Linked DNA regions of Lonchura striata. The protein of the gene in region 1 purifies or fractionates together with the protein of each later gene. This does not show direct contact. Links are inferred from orthologs where the notes say so. Each region holds a gene or a part of one and is shown in the gene's direction. Other genes may lie near its edges.

Region 1 (7,100 bases):
TCCTAGCCTAAAACATATAAAGTAAAAAAAAAAAAAAAAACTGTAGGCAAGTTCCAATATTCCTAAGCTTTGGGTCTATGCTTTAACAAATTTGGACAATAAATTGGAAGCAGAGCAACAAGCAGTAGGAGGTTAGGTGGTGCTGGAGTGGGAAAGGAAAATGAGGTATTAAAAAAATCAGAAAAAAGTAAAAGGAAAGATAAAATTAATAGCACTTATTTCTGGTAAGGAAGATTTGGCCACTGTTCTTTATATCACAGCCCATGAATGCTTGCTTATAGATTAGGTTGCTTTTTTATTAAAATGACCAGAGTGAGTGGTGGAATTTGCAGAATTTTTCAAATGTTTTAAAAGAATTTTTTTTCACTGAAGTAGTTACAATATATAACAAATAAAATGTGTATTTGCTGAGAAAAAATGCCTACCAATAGTTTTCCTTATTATTCCTTTTGCTAAGAGGATAATTTCAGGTGCTGAACACAAGTGCACTAATGTACTCTTGGACTTCAAGTGAAAGGTACCTGCTGGGGAAGAGAATCATCCTCCCCAGCTGAACTTTATGCCATGGAAATGCATACAAAGTGGCAAGAGCAACATTTATCTTCCAGGATTGATTACTAGTAATGCAATTACTAGTAATTTGCAATGTGCTTTCAATATATCCAAGGTGATGTATCTGATTATCATTCTTCTCTCTCAAATTACAAAACACATCAGTCAAAAGCTAACAGGAGCTGGGACATATGGCATCTCAGAGAAGAACAAGCTGCTGGGCTTCCACCACTTAGAAAGATGTGCTTGGCCTGCCTCAGTGCCAGGAGGGGCCACTGAGTCCTGCTGACTTCAGAGCCTGGGAGCTGTGAATTCAGACTTTTTGGGATGCTGTAGCTCCTGTTCTTTCTGCATGTCACAAGTCATCCATGCTGTGTTCTTGGTAGGCCCAAGGGATATAGATTACTGCTACCTTCTGTACTACTCAGCTCTGCTGCAAGTACTAGTGACACATCATGTACAGGGCAGTTGGTTTGGAGCTGCTGTTTCCTTTGAACTGTTTTAATTTTTGAAGTTTAATCAGTATATGGTTGCAATCCTGCATGTTTTTATGCTTATTTAAAATATGTCCCCATACATGCTTTATTTAGTACCCAGTACTAGAGTTTGTATTAAAAAACTTAAATTTTAGACAACATACTCCACAATGATTTTGCTTTTTATTTAATGTATCCCAAGCTTCATGAAAGTTTGTAAATCTGTTTTGTAGTAAGCTTCATACTTTCTGATAAACCCATGTAGCTGCAGTTCTTTGTATTTTTCATCCCACGTGTGATGCAAGATTAAAAGTGACATGATTTCTTTGTTACTGTAAGCAGGCGTTCATACCAAATGAGGTGGTCATCCCCTGTCAGAGTGCTGCCCTTCTACTGCACCATCCCGGGTGCTGGGGCATCTTGCAACTGAGTGGTAAAACAGGTCAGGATTAAATCTAAACAATTTTTCTTGTTGCTAGCTTAGTTGTAACCCAATACAGTTTGCTGTGCAGCCACAGCAATATTTTTATGGGCACAAAGAGGCACAGGGCACAGGTGCGAAAACGAGCAGCTTACAGCAGAAACAGAACCATCTTTCTAAGTCCCACGACTCTCTTATCATGACCTAATCATGAAACTATGGTACTACTTTACTCGAAATTACGCTTATAAATTAGCATCTTGGCAAGCACGTCTGGGTAACATAGTCAGGCTTTTAACTGCTCAAAGAGGATCAGAAACATTTAAAATGCACACGTGATCTTTCCATCAAACCAAACAACAGCAGCCAGAGCCAGTCATAATATTTTATGCTCATAGTAAGGTCAAATCCATCTGAAATTTTAAAAACAAACAAATAAATAAATAAATAAAAAGGGACCTCAGAAGACATAGTCCAAGAGTCTAGAAATTGCTATTCATGACCCAGATTTTCACTGAAGAATTCCTGGAACTCACCTTTGTCCCACTTTTCCCAGATTTTAGCTTCTGCTATGATATTGGGGGTTTTGTTCTTTTTTATCTTAATATTACTACAGATTTCAAAAGTTTGAAATCACAAGAAACTAAAAAAGTGAGTCAAACCTTTGCTGCCTGAGATTGTTCAGCAGCAGAGCATGGAATTAAACCTAGTCTTCAGCTTGGCTGATAACAAAGCAGAGTTCAGTATTTTTTCCAACTCTCCTCCTATTCCGAACCTCGCTAATCACCGAAACGTGCCTCGGAGAGCTGCTGTGCCTGTGCTCAGGGTAGCTTCAGTTTCTGTATCCTTCATTCGGTTGCGACAGTGGGACCAGCCCTTATTCTCTAATACCCGGTTACGCAATCAGATTAAGGAGCCATCTGCAGCACAAACTGAAACTGCTCTATAATCGCGTTCTCGGCTCACGCAGAACTTTGACTTACGCAGGATCTGTGTCTCCTTGAATTATTCACCAGCCTCCCTGCTACTCCTTCAAGCTGGAAACGCACAGCAAGCGATACGGTCAAATATTTCAGTGATTAAATCATTGCGCTTTGAGCACGCTCAGCTCAAATGCCGTTTCTGAGATTTAAAGGAATATCTGCGGTAGTTCAAAGGGAAAGCAAAACCTCTCCCTTCCTTGTGCCTCCTTTGAATGTGCTTGAAAAGACAGTAGATCAGAGCTTGCTGCTTTTGCCACTCTGCTGTCAACAGCTGAATTGTTAAATGATTTAATGCCAACGCATCTCTTGTGTAGCTTTGTAAAGCCTCAAAACTAAAAATACCTGCTTTTGTCAAGTATTCACAGAGTGTCTATTTTACCCAGCCGTGTGCACAGCAAGGTCTTGGTTCATCATTAGCGAAAATAATTCTGCATTCTCAAGGCTTTCCTGTTGCTACAGTCACCTTTACTAACAAAATGTCTTTTTAAATGACAAAACTAGAAACTCGCACTGTACGTCGCCTTTGTCTTCAAAAGGCTTTGCTACAGGAACGCAGGACGGAGCCCTGACTACGTGTGTTGTAAGATCAGCCCTAACAAAGGCCGGAGCTCCGTTTGTTTTCTGCTGAGAGCCGCAGAGCCAGCGGCTGCGCGGCGGCTCCCGGGGAGCTGCCTCCCGCAGGCGGAGGGGCAGGAGCGCTCGGACAGAGCCCGCCCGCCCTCTCCGGGAGCCGCTGCCAGCCGTAGCCGACAGTAGGCGGAAAGTAGGAAGCGAGGCAGGGCAGAAATGTCGAGAGGGAAGGCACGAGACAGACAATCCGGAACCAACAGCCGGAGCAGTGCCGGCTTCGGCTAGAACACTAGAGCGAGAGCAAGTGAACGGGGGGAGCCGCTGCGGCACAGCGAGCCGGCGGCGGAGGCCACCGGGCCCGCGTCGGTAGGAGCGCGGGTACGAGCTCAGTCGTGCCGGCGGCAGCTCCGACCCGTGACACTCTCCGCGGCCGCCCTTCCACATCCCACGGCGGAGCCGCCGGGGAGGCGCGGGAAGGGGGAAAAAGAGAGACTGACGCACGGGGCTTTGCAGCGGGCCCAGCCTGCAGACGGGATGAAAAGGCAGCGGAGCGCGGCGCGGGAAAAAGAAGCGGCTGCGGCAGCGAATGCTGCCCCCGCCGCTGCCTCGGCCGCGCTCCCGCCGCGCGGTGCGGCGGCGGCCGGGCAGGAACTGCGCTTCCCGTGGGGCCGCGCGCGGCAGCCGGCATGCGCGGCGGGCGGGCGGGGCGGGGCGGCAGGTTGCTGTTGTTACATAGGAAACAGCTGAAGAGTCTCCACATGACAGGGGGGGAAGGAGGAAGTGGGGCGGCCCGCGGGGCTCTGCCGCCGCTGCTCCGGTAGTCGCGGTGCTCGGCTGGCGGCTGCTGGCAGGGAGAGTCCTTCCCGCGACGCGTGGGCTGACCGCCCTCGAGGGCGGACTTGCGCCCCGGTGCCGCCGCCGAAGGGAGGCGGGCAGGGAGCGGGGGAGCCCCCCGCCGGGCCGCGGCGCCTCGCCGGGGAAGTTTGGTGCGGGGCGGGATCCCGCCGGCGGCGGCGGTGGCGCCGGGCATGAACGGCTTCGCCCCCGAGGAGGTGACCCAGCGCGGGGCAGACCCCGCCGCCGCGGCGGCGGTGGGCGCTGCGGGCTCCGCCGTGGAGGTGCCGCCGCCGCCGGCGCCGCCGGGGCTGGGTCCGGCCGCCGCCGCCGCGGGCTCGGCGGGCGGCGGGTGCGCGGGCGGCCCCGGGGCCGGGCAGCTGTGCTGCCTGCGGGAGGAGGGGGAGCGATGCGGCCGCGCCGCCGGCAACGCCAGCTTCAGCAAGCGCATCCAGAAGAGCATTTCACAGAAGAAGGTGAAGATCGAGCTGGACAAGAGCGTAAGTCCGCGAGGGGAGGACGCGCCAGGGCTGCCGGCGGGGCGGGCGGACAAAAGCGGCCGGTAGGTCGCCGCATCTGTGTCTTAGCTGGCTGGGGGACTTTTCCTCAAGTTTGGTGGGGAAGGAGGGGAGCGTGGCGGCGGGGAAGCGTTCGTTCCCCCTTCCCACCTCTTTTCCGTAGCACGGCCGAGTTGGGCTGGCGCGGCAGGAGCGCTGCCTGAAAGTCCCTCCGGGCGGGGGGCAGCGCCCGCCTTTCCTGCCTGCTCCTGAGGTCCCCTGTACCCCAAGAGCCTGGGCATCGACTGCGTGTGCCCCCCTGTAGCCGGAGCCGGGGGTAAGCGTGGCCGGGAAGCGCCGCTGCCCGCCGGAGCGGAGCGGAGCCTGCATGGCTCCCGGCGCGCTAGTTTGTGTTGCTGGCGAGGGCCGCGCTCGCCGCCCCGCCTCGTGTTGCAGCGCCGCACGTCTCCGGTGCCGCTTTATCTCCCGCTCGGCAGCCATCGGGCCCCGCGCGGCCGGGCCGGGCCGGGCCGGGGCCGGCCGCCTTCCAGCGCGGTGCTTCGCCCGGGAGCCCGGAGAGCGCCCGCCTCGCCGGGTGCCGCGGAAGGGCGAGACGGGCTGCAGCGTGGAGCTGCCGGCGGGAGCGCCCCGGGCCGGGGCTGCGTGCGCCCCGAGAGACCCGGCCCGGTGCCCCACGCTGCAGCCCGGTGCCCCACGCTGCCCCGCGCTCCCGTTCGCCCTGAAAGCACGCGGACCGGGGCGTTCCGGGCTGGCAGCGCCCGGATCTCCCAAAGCGTGCAGAGCCCCACGAGTGGGAAACTTGTTAAAAAGAAAGAAAGTAAAAATAAGTGTGTTGCGTGACCGTGCCGGGTAGCGGAAGTAAAACAAGGAGGGGAGGATATAGCTGGGGAAACGAGAGCCGTCTCTTAGCCCCGCAGAGAAAGCTGCGAGCTTGTTTTTTGTTAGCGTGCCGCCCGGCCCCCGCGGTGCGATGCGCGGCCGGAGGGAGGGAAGGAGGGAGGGCTGTGCTGCGTGGCTCCACAGCCTGGCACTGCTGCATCGGCCCATTGCAGCATTTCAGCGAGCTCGGGGCCCAGCCGGTGGCGGGGAGCCGCAGCGCAGCTCGCTCTCCATTTACAATAAACCAGTGGAAAAGCTCCCTCAGCCCAGTTAATGTGGCTGTGAGTGCTTAAGGGTTGTCTGTCTACGTGCACTTCAGTCTGGGAGATACACTACGTGGGTTTAATTGAAAGATACCGTTTTATTCTTGTAGGCAAGACATCTGTACATTTGTGACTTCCACAAAAATCTAATTCAGAGTGTGAGAAATAGAAGAAAGAGGAAAGGCAGCGATGATGATGGTGACTCACCAGTGCAAGACATCGATGCTCCAGAGGTAGCTGAACAGTTGGGTTTTTTTTTCAAGTTATTGTCTTAAGCTTCTTAATGACACTGAGTCTGCACCAATACCACTCTTCCACTTCTGCAGCTTTGCCTTACGTGTAGGAAAGAGAAGATTCTTGATTTGCCCTGTTTTTAATATAACGGAATTTAACTGAATTTTTGTGGTGTGTTTTCTGATTAAATGGTGCATAGGACAATGAAAGAGTCTCTAAGTGTCTGATGCTTCTCTCAAAAATCTACTGTTTTAAGATTTCTCTGAGAAATCTACTGTTTTCCTCCTTCTTACTGTTTTGCCACATGCCATCGAACTCTTACCTTTTGCTGAAGCTTACAAGCTGAAGGGAGTTGCACAGAGTGCTTAGGATATAAATGCTTCTCTGTCCTGTCCCTTTTGTGCTAAATGTGTTGCAGGTAGTTCTAGGCAATTGCTCCATTGCCTTAGTCACTTTAAAGACTGAGAGTTTAATGATGGTAGCTTTGTTTCTGCCCACTGTGGGGGGAAGAACCATTTGGAGAGCTCTGCTATGAAGGAGTGGAGAAATACGGTGTCTTTTAAACCTGTTTTCTCCACTGCACACCAGTGAAATCTGACCCATTAACTAAAGCGTTCAACCTTTCTCATAGTGTAATGGGTCGGTCTTGAACATAAGGCTCTCTTTTTCTTACACATGCTCTAGGTTATTTTTGCTACAACGTTGCTTAGCAGGTGCTCCACAATGTGTTAATTTTGAGCAGAGGCTTATTATGCCTACGTGGTTCTTTCTGAGAGGGATTGTTAAAACATTCTTCAGAAATCGCTCTGTAAGTGTTAATGTAATGGCATCCTTATGGTCAGCATCTGCAGATAACAGCAAGTAAGTGAGTAAAGTTTGTGCAGGAATCTGTGCCTTCAGGCACGAGGCTCCAGTCTGAATGTTCTGTCTAAGAGGATTTTAGGAGATTGAAAGTAGTTTGATGCTGAGTGGTGTTGTCTGTCTGTTAAATATCTGTGATTGTTTCTTGGAAAGTTCTGTCTAAAGCTAGTGCTGTGAGTGACTTCAGGTAGCTTTCTGACACTGTGTAATTGCAGCTCTCCTGGGAGCCTGTTTTGTTTTCTTATGCCAGGATTATAAAACATGTCACAACTGATGGATATCTTCAGAACAAGAAAACAAGCCTTTTTTTTTAAACAGTATTATTACAAAAGAGAAAACTGGGAACTGTTTTTGAGAAGCGTCAGCTGGCTGTTTGGACAACGGCAGTCTGTTCTTTCCTTGTAATTACTGTGTGCCTTAGATACTTGCTTGCTCTTGACCACCTTTATTTTCAATTGTTACCCATTTTGCTAAAGAAAAAAGTATCATTCTTCTGAAGAGTTGTAAGG
Region 2 (8,018 bases), on another chromosome or scaffold:
CTGGAGCTGGAGGTGGGCGGCCACCCCCAAAACTGGGGAGGGGGACACCCCGGAGGGGTCAGGATTGAGGTTTCGGGGGCTTAGGGTCTGTAATGGGGGTACAGAAGGGCTGGGGAGGGACCAGGAGCACGCCCTGGCTGGAGCTGGGGCTGGGGCTGGGTGAAGACCCCTGAAAGTGGGGAGGGGGCGTTTGGGGATGGGTCAGGAGCACGGTTTGTGGGGTCAGGGGGTGCTCTGGGGACAAGGGACGAGGAGCACACCCGGGCTGGGGACCCCCGAATTGGGGCTGGGGGTGGTTTGGGGTGCGGGGGGTGGCGGCAGCCCCGGTTTGGGGCTCTGGGGGGGTCCCGGGGACCCCCCGTGACCCCTCCCCACCCCCAGGACACCGGGCTCTGCGCCGACTTCCACCCCGGGGGACACGTGGTGGCCGTGGGGCTGCTGAGCGGGCGGTGAGTGACCGGGACACCGGGGGACACGGGGGGACACCGGGGGACACGGGGGGACATGGGGACAGGAGGGGACACAGGGGGACACGGGGGGACATGGGGGGACATGGAAGGACACAAGGACATGGGGGGACAAGGGGACACGGGGGGAGATGGGGACACAGGGGAACAGTGCCCATGGTCCCCCTGTCACCCCCATGTCCCCGTGTCCCCCCATGTCCCCGTGTCCCCCCCCATGTCCCCGTGTCCCCCCCATGTCCCCCTGTCACCCCCATGTCCCCGTGTCCCCCCCTGTCCTGTGTCCCCCCATGTCCCCGTGTCCCCCTGTGTCCCCCCATGTCCCCCTGTCCCCCCCATGTCCCCGTGTCCCCCCATGTCCCCGTGTCCCCCCATGTCCCCGTGTCCCCCTGTGTCCCCCCATGTCCCCCTGTCCCCCCCATGTCCCCGTGTCCCCCCATGTCCCGTGTCCCCCCCATGTCCCCGTGTCCCCCCCATGTCCCCGTGTCCCCCCATGTCCCCCCCATGTCCCCGTGTCCCCCCATGTCCCCGTGTCCCCCCCATGTCCCCGTGTCCCCCCGTGTCCCCCCATGTCCCGTGTCCCCCCCATGTCCCCGTGTCCCCCCATGTCCCATGTCCCCCCCATGTCCCCGTGTCCCCCCATGTCCCCCTGTCGCCCCCATGTCCCGTGTCCCCCCATGTCCCCCTGTCCCCCCCATGTCCCCGTGTCCCCCCGTGTCCCATGTCCCGTGTCCCCCCATGTCCCGTGTCCCCCCATGTCCCCGTGTCCCCGTCCCGCAGGTGGCTGGTGCTGGACACGGGCACGCGGCAGCTCCTGGCCGGGGGCTCGGACGGGAACGAGCAGCTCTCGGTGGTTCGCTTCTCACCGGGTGAGCCCCGCGTCCCCTGCCAGCCCAAACTGTCCCCAAACTGTCCTTGGCCTGTCCCTGATCCCAAACTGTCCCCAGACTGTCCCCAGATTGTCCCTGACCCCTCCCTGTCCCAAAATTGTCCTAAAACTGTCTCTGGCCTGTCCCTGATCCCTCCCTGTCCCCAGAATGTCCCCAAACTGTCCCTGATCCCTCCCTGTCCCCAAACTATCCCAAATCCCCCCCCAGTGTGTGGAACCCCCCCCCAAACCCTCCCAGGTCATGGGGCCCCCCCAGACTTGTGTTCCCCCAAACCCCCCAAATCCGTGTCCCCCCAAACTCCCCCAAATCCATGTTCCCCCCAAACCCGTGTCCCCCCAAATCCCCCCAAACCCTGTGTCCCCCCAAACCCGTGTCCCCCCCAAGCCCCCCCAAACCCTGTGTCCCCCCCAAACCCCCTGCCCCCCCAAACCCCGTGTCCCCCCAAACCCCGTGTCCCCCCAAACCCCGTGTCCCCCCCAACCCCGTGTCCCCCCCAAACCCCGTGTCCCCCCCAAACCCCGTGTCCCCCCAAACCCCATGCCCCCCAAACCCCGTGTCCCCCCAAACCCCGTGTCCCCCCCAAACCCCGTGTCCCCCCCAAAGCCCATGCCCCCCCAAACCCCGTGTCCCCCCCAAACCCCGTGTCCCCCCCAAACCCGCGTCCCCCCCGTTGCAGACGGGACCTTCCTGGCCATCGGCTCCCACGACAATTTCATCTACATCTACAGCGTGGCCGAGGGCGGCCGCAAGTTCAGCCGCTTCGGCCGCTGCACCGTGAGCTGGGGGGCTGGCGGGGGCTGGGGGGGGGTCCCCAAACCCCCCCGGACCCCCAGCGACCCCCCCCACCCCCCGCTGCCCCCAGGGTCACTCGAGTTTCATCACCCACCTGGACTGGTCCAAGGACGGGCGGTTCATCATGTCCAACTCAGGGGATTATGAGATCCTCTACTGTGAGTCTGGGGGCTTGGGGGGCTCCCCCTGGGGCTGACGAGACCCCCATGACCCTGCCGGGACCCTCCTGACCCTGCCGGGACCCCCAGAGCTGGGGGGAACCCCCTGGCCCTGCCAGGACCTTCCTGAACCTTCCTGGCCCTTCCAGATCTTTCCAGGACCCTTCTGCCCCTGCCAGGACCTCCAAAGCTGGGGGGAACCCCCTGACCCCACCGGGACCCCCCAGACTTTGGGGTCTCACTGTCCCCCTCCCCTGGTTCTTTTTGGGGGGGTGTCATTTTCCCTCCCCAGATTTTGGGGGTCTCTTTTCCCTTCCCCTCCCCAGCTTTTGGGGGGGCTTTCCCTTTTCCCTCCCTCCTCCTCCTCCCAAATTTTGGGTGCCTTTCACTACCCCCCACCCCAAATTTCGGGGTGAACTCTCCAAGCCCCCCCCAGCCCAGATTTTGGGGGTCTCTCCCCCCTCCAGGGGACGTGGCCGGGGGCTGCAAATTGCTGCGGAACCGCTTCGAGAGCCGGGACCGGGAATGGGCCTCCTACACCTGCGTGCTGGGCTTCCACGTCTTCGGTGGGTCTGGGGGCTCGGGGGGTCTCAGGGGGGGTTTGGGGGGGTTCCCCATCTCCCCAAGTGGTTCAGGGGGTGCTGTCAGGAGTATTTGGGTTTCTTTTAGGGTCCCCCAGCTCTCCGAACCCTCGGGGTGGTTCTGGCAGAGTATTTGGGGTTGTTTTGGGGTGATCCCCAGTTCCCCGAGAGCTTTGGGTGTTTCTGACAGGGTATTTGGGGTTTTTTTGGAGTCCCCCAGCTCCCTGAGAGCTTCAGAAGGTTCTAATGGTTTTTTTTTTTTTGGGGTCCCCCAGTTCCCTGAGCCCTTTGGGTACTTCTAACGGGATATTTGGGGGGTTTTTTTTGGGTTGCCCAGCTCCCCAAGCCCTTGTGGTGTTTCTAGCGGGGTATTTGTGGATGTTTTTGGGGTCCCCAGCTCCCCGAGAGCTTTGCGTGTTTCTAGAGGGGTATTTGGGGGTTTTTGGGGTCCCCCTGACCCCCGACATCGGCGCAGGGGTGTGGCCGGACGGCTCGGACGGCACCGACATCAACTCGCTGTGCCGCTCGCACCACGAGCGCGTGGTGGCCGTGGCCGACGACTTCTGCAAGGTTCACCTGTTCCAGTACCCCTGTGCCCGGGCCAAGGTGGGCACCGGGCTCTGGGGGGGTTTCGGGGGGGCTGGGGAAGGGTCCCAGAGTCCAGTTTGGGGGTCCCAGACCCCAGTTTGGGGGGTCAGGAGGGTCCAGACTCACTGCCGGTGGGTTGGCGATCCCAACCCCTGGACTGGCTGTTCTGGGGGGATTTGGGGGGGGGTCCAAATCCCAGATTTTTGGGCTCGGGAGAGTCCCAGACCCCAATTTGAGAGGCTGGGGGGGGTCCAGACCACAAATTTTTGGGCTCAGGAAGGTCCCATACCCCAAATTTGGGGGCTCCAAACCCACTGGGTGTTTTGGGGGGTCCCACACCCCAATTTAGGGGTATGGGGGGGGGGTCCAGACCCCAATTTGAGGGGTTGTGGGGGTGGTTCCAGACCCCAAATTTTTGGGCTCGGGAGGGTCCCAGACCCCAATTTGAGGGGATGAGGGGATCGGGGTGAGGGGTGGGGGTCCCACACCCCAATTTAGGGGTATGGGGGGGGTCCAGACCCCAATGTGAGGGGTCGTGGGGTGGTTCCAGACCCCAAATTTTTGGGCTCGGGAGGGTCCCAGACCCCAATTTGAGGGGATCGGGGTGGGGGGTCCCACACCCCAATTTAGGGGTATGGGGGGGGGTCCAGACCCCAATTTGAGGGGTCGTGGGGTGGTTCCAGACCCCAAATTTTTGGGCTCGGGAGGGTCCCAGACCCCAGTTTGAGGGGATCGGGGTGGGGGGTCCCACACCCCAATTTAGGGGTATGGGGGGGGGGGTCAGACCCCAATTTCGGGGGTCCCCCCCCGTTTGCGGGGGGGGGGGGGGGGCTGTATCCACGTGACCCCGCAGTCACGTGTCGCCCCCTCCCTCACAGGCTCCCAGTCACGTGTACGGCGGGCACGGCAGCCACGTGACCAACGTGCGCTTCACGCACGACGACGGACACCTGGTGTCGCTGGGCGGGAAGGACACCAGCGTCTTCCAGTGGCGGGTGCTGCCCGGGGACAGCGCCTGAGCCCCGCGCCTTCCTCCTCCTCCTCCTCCTCGCTGCTTCCTCTTCCCCCTTTCCCCCCTTCCTGGGACCAAAGAGCGGCTCGGGGTTTGGTGGAAAGCTTTCCCCCCCCGCCGCGTTTTCGCGCTGCACTGTGAGAGGCGTCAATAAAAGCCTTGGGGTCAGGGTAGGACCCCGCCGTTTCCTCCGGGATCGCCGCCGCTTCCCGGAAGCGCCGCGGGTTCTTCCTCCGTGCCCGCCCTCGGCGCCTTTCCGGTTCTGGCGGAACTCGCCGAGCGCGTTACGGAAAGAGCCGAGGTTGAGGCGAGGAGTGCCGGAGAGAGCCGAGGCCAAGCCGAGGCTTTCCCGAAAAGCGCCGAGGTCTCTCCGGAAGCGCCCGAGGCGGCGCCGAACCCGTGCCGGAGGTGCCCGAACGCATCCGGCAATACCCGAGTCTCTCCGGAGTTGCCCAAACCCTCTCCGGAGGTGCCCGAGAGGTCTTGCCGGAGGTTGCCGAACGTCTCCGGAGGTGCCCGAAGGGCTCCGAACCGGCCGTGCCGGCGCGGAGGCGGCGGGAGCGGCGATGAAGCGCGGCCGGGGCCGGGCCCGGGGGTAGCGCGGCCGAGCGAGCGGCCATGGCGGCCAACATGTACCGCGTCGGCGGTGAGCGGGCCGGGGGCCGCGGGCAGGGACCTCCAGGAGGGGCTCTGGGGGGGGCCCTGAGGGGATTTGGGGGTCCCGGAAAGCGGAGTGTGGGGGGGGGTTTGGGGGGGTCCGTGAGGGGATTTTGGGGGGGGGGGGGGTCCGTGAGGTAAGGGGGAGGCGTGAGGGGAGTGGGAAAAGGGCGGGGGGGGTTGTCTGTGAGGGGATTTGGGGGTTCCGTGAGGCGCGGGAAGGGTCGTGAGGGGAATTGGGGGGGGGTCCGTGAGGGGTCCTGGAAAGGGGCAAGCGTGAGGGGAGTGGGGGGTGGTCAGTGAGGGGATTTGGGGGTTCCGGAAAGGGGGAGAGGGTCTTGTGAGGAAATTTGGGGGTCCCGGAAACAGCGGGGGTGTCTTGTGAGGCAATAGGCGGTGGGGGGGGAGGTCCCGTGCGGGAATTTGGAGGGAGAGGATTTAGGGGCGGGGGGGGTCCTGAAGAGGAAAGGGTCCCGTGAGGGGGTTAAGGAGGTCCCTGAGGGGATTTGGGGTGTTCGTGAGGGAACTTGGGAGTCTGTGAGGAAAAGGAGGTGCCAGAAATGGGGAGGGTTCTTTAAGGGGTGTGCTCCTTTGGGACCCCAAATTCTGAGGCGTGGAGGTGGGAGACGGCTCCCCCCCCCAAAAAAAAAAAAAAAAAAAAAATCTAAAGAAAAAAGGGGGGTGGTCTCTGATGAGAAGGGAACCCGAGATTTTTTTGGGGGGTGTCCTCCACCCTCATTTGTGAGGGAAGGTCTGTGCCAGGGGGGGACCTCTGGTCTGTAGTGGGGGGCTGAGGGGGGGAAATGAGGGGGGGTCCTGTGGGGTAACAAACCCCGTTCCCATGAGGGGAACATCTGGCTGCAAAAACCCCCTGGATTTTGGGGATTTGGGTGGAACTAAGAACAATCCTGACAAGTTTGAGAAAAAGGATTTTTGGGGGGTGGGGCTGCCCTCGTGACCCCCCAATTTTTGCTCCCTATTTTTCCCCAGATTACGTCTACTTCGAGAACTCCTCCAGCAACCCCTACCTGGTGCGGCGCATCGAGGAGCTCAACAAGGTGAGACCCCTGCCCTGTTCCTCAGGGGGGTCTCCAAGCCTGGGGAGGGGGTCCCCAAGCCCAGGGGACCCCACTGACCCCCTGTGCCCCCCCAGACGGCCAATGGCAACGTGGAGGCCAAGGTGGTTTGTCTGTTCCGACGGCGTGACATCTCCAGCAGCCTCAACAGCCTGGCTGACAGCAATGCCCGTGAGTGGGGGGCTTTTGGGGGGTTTTGGGGAGGTTTTGGGGATTTGGGGGGCAGCCTTAAAGGACAGGCCAAGGGTAATGCCGGTGGGTGGGGGATTTGAGGGGTTTTTAGGGGGTTTATAGGGCGGTCTGTGGCTCATATCACAATGGGGTGCTCCCAGAATTTGGGGAGAACTGGTTTGACATTATTGGGGTAATTTAGGGGTGCTGCAGAGGGGTCTGTGACCTCTCCCAAAGGGGCGCCCCAAATTTGAGGGGGGGTTGGAGCTGCTCGGTCTCTCTCCACCTCTCTTGGGCTGAATTTTGGGGGGGTTTTGCCAATTTTGGGGCGGGGAATTACAGGTAAAGGACTGACCCCTTTGAACCATCAAACTGGGGGGGTCCTGCCCTTCCTGGGGGGGGTCTCTCCCCTCCCACGGCCCCTCCCCCTCCCTCCCCTCCCCCTCTTCGGGGCTGTTGCCAAAAGCCCAGAGGGGGTTTTGGGAGAACAATGGGCCCTCCCAGCTGGATTTTGGGGGAGGAACACCCCGGTGTGACCCCCCCGCGGCCCCCCCAGGCGAGTTTGAGGAGGAGTCGAAGCAGCCGCCGATGACGGAGCAGCAGCGGCACCAGCTCAAGCACCGGGAGCTGTTCCTGTCTCGCCAGTTCGAGTCCCTCCCGGCCACCCACATCCGGTACCGGGGGCAGAAACGGCTCTGGGGGGGTGGGAAAACCCTCTGGGGGGGCTTCCCCTGCGTGGGGAGGGGTTTTGGGGTGACCCTCTCCCCAAATTTCCCCTACAGGGGGAAGTGCAGCGTGACGCTGCTGAACGAGACCGACATCCTGGGGCAGTACCTGGAGAAGGAGGTGAGTTCTGTGTGCCCCAAAATGGGTCTGGGGGGGGATTTTGGGGGTCTCCCCACCCTGCTGAGCCCCCCCAATGTGCCCCCTCCCCACAGGATTGCTTCTTCTACTCGCTGGTCTTCGACCCCGTGCAGAAAACGCTGCTGGCAGACCAGGGCGAGATCAGGGTGGGCTGCAAGTACCAAGCTGAGATCCCCGAGCGTCTGGCCGAAGGTTTGGGGGGTTCGGGGGGGCTCTGGGGGGTGCAGGATGGGGGGGGGGTCATCCTGACAGCCCCCCCAAACCTCCCCCAGGTGAGTCGGACAACCGGAACCAACAGAAGATGGAGATGAAGGTGTGGGACCCCGACAACCCCCTGACGGACCGGCAGATCGACCAGTTCCTGGTGGTGGCTCGGTGAGGGGGGATCGGGGGGGGTCGGTGGGGGGTCAGGGGGATTGGGGGGACCCTGCTGACCCCCCCATGTCCCCCCCAGGGCCGTGGGGACGTTTGCCCGGGCGCTGGACTGCAGCAGCTCCATCCGCCAGCCCAGCCTGCACATGAGCGCGGCCGCAGCCTCCCGGGACATCACCCTGGTGAGGGGGGACCCCAGCCCCCTGGGCACCCCAAAACCTCCCTCAGAACCCTCAGTTCCCACTGGGAGACCCCCAAACCTCTCTAGAACCTCCTCATTTCTCACTGGGAGACCCCAAAACTTCTTCTGAACTCCTCATGTCCTGTTGGGACATCCAAAGATTTTTTTATATCTCACATATCTCAACTGAGACACCCTAAAACCCCTTAGAA

The links. The genes of interacting proteins can lie anywhere in the genome.
Region 2: the proteins of SAP30 (region 1) and MTA2 purify together in Homo sapiens (affinity purification with mass spectrometry; 3 studies listed by BioGRID, with this or other methods). This does not show direct contact. The link is inferred for Lonchura striata from reciprocal best matches to the Homo sapiens genes SAP30 and MTA2.

The regions. Positions count from the first base shown.
Region 1 is NC_134606.1:36,160,063-36,167,162, reverse strand, and holds the start of SAP30 (histone deacetylase complex subunit SAP30), read left to right. Parts: upstream 1-4,030; coding exon 4,031-4,336; intron 4,337-5,606; coding exon 5,607-5,729; intron 5,730-7,100. UniProt on the Homo sapiens protein: Involved in the functional recruitment of the Sin3-histone deacetylase complex (HDAC) to a specific subset of N-CoR corepressor complexes. Capable of transcription repression by N-CoR.
Region 2 is NC_134638.1:417,152-425,169, reverse strand, and holds the start of MTA2 (metastasis-associated protein MTA2), read left to right. Parts: upstream 1-4,965; 5' UTR 4,966-5,103; coding exon 5,104-5,131; intron 5,132-6,132; coding exon 6,133-6,200; intron 6,201-6,295; coding exon 6,296-6,389; intron 6,390-6,945; coding exon 6,946-7,063; intron 7,064-7,171; coding exon 7,172-7,235; intron 7,236-7,327; coding exon 7,328-7,445; intron 7,446-7,525; coding exon 7,526-7,628; intron 7,629-7,707; coding exon 7,708-7,807; intron 7,808-8,018. UniProt on the Homo sapiens protein: May function as a transcriptional coregulator. Acts as a component of the histone deacetylase NuRD complex which participates in the remodeling of chromatin.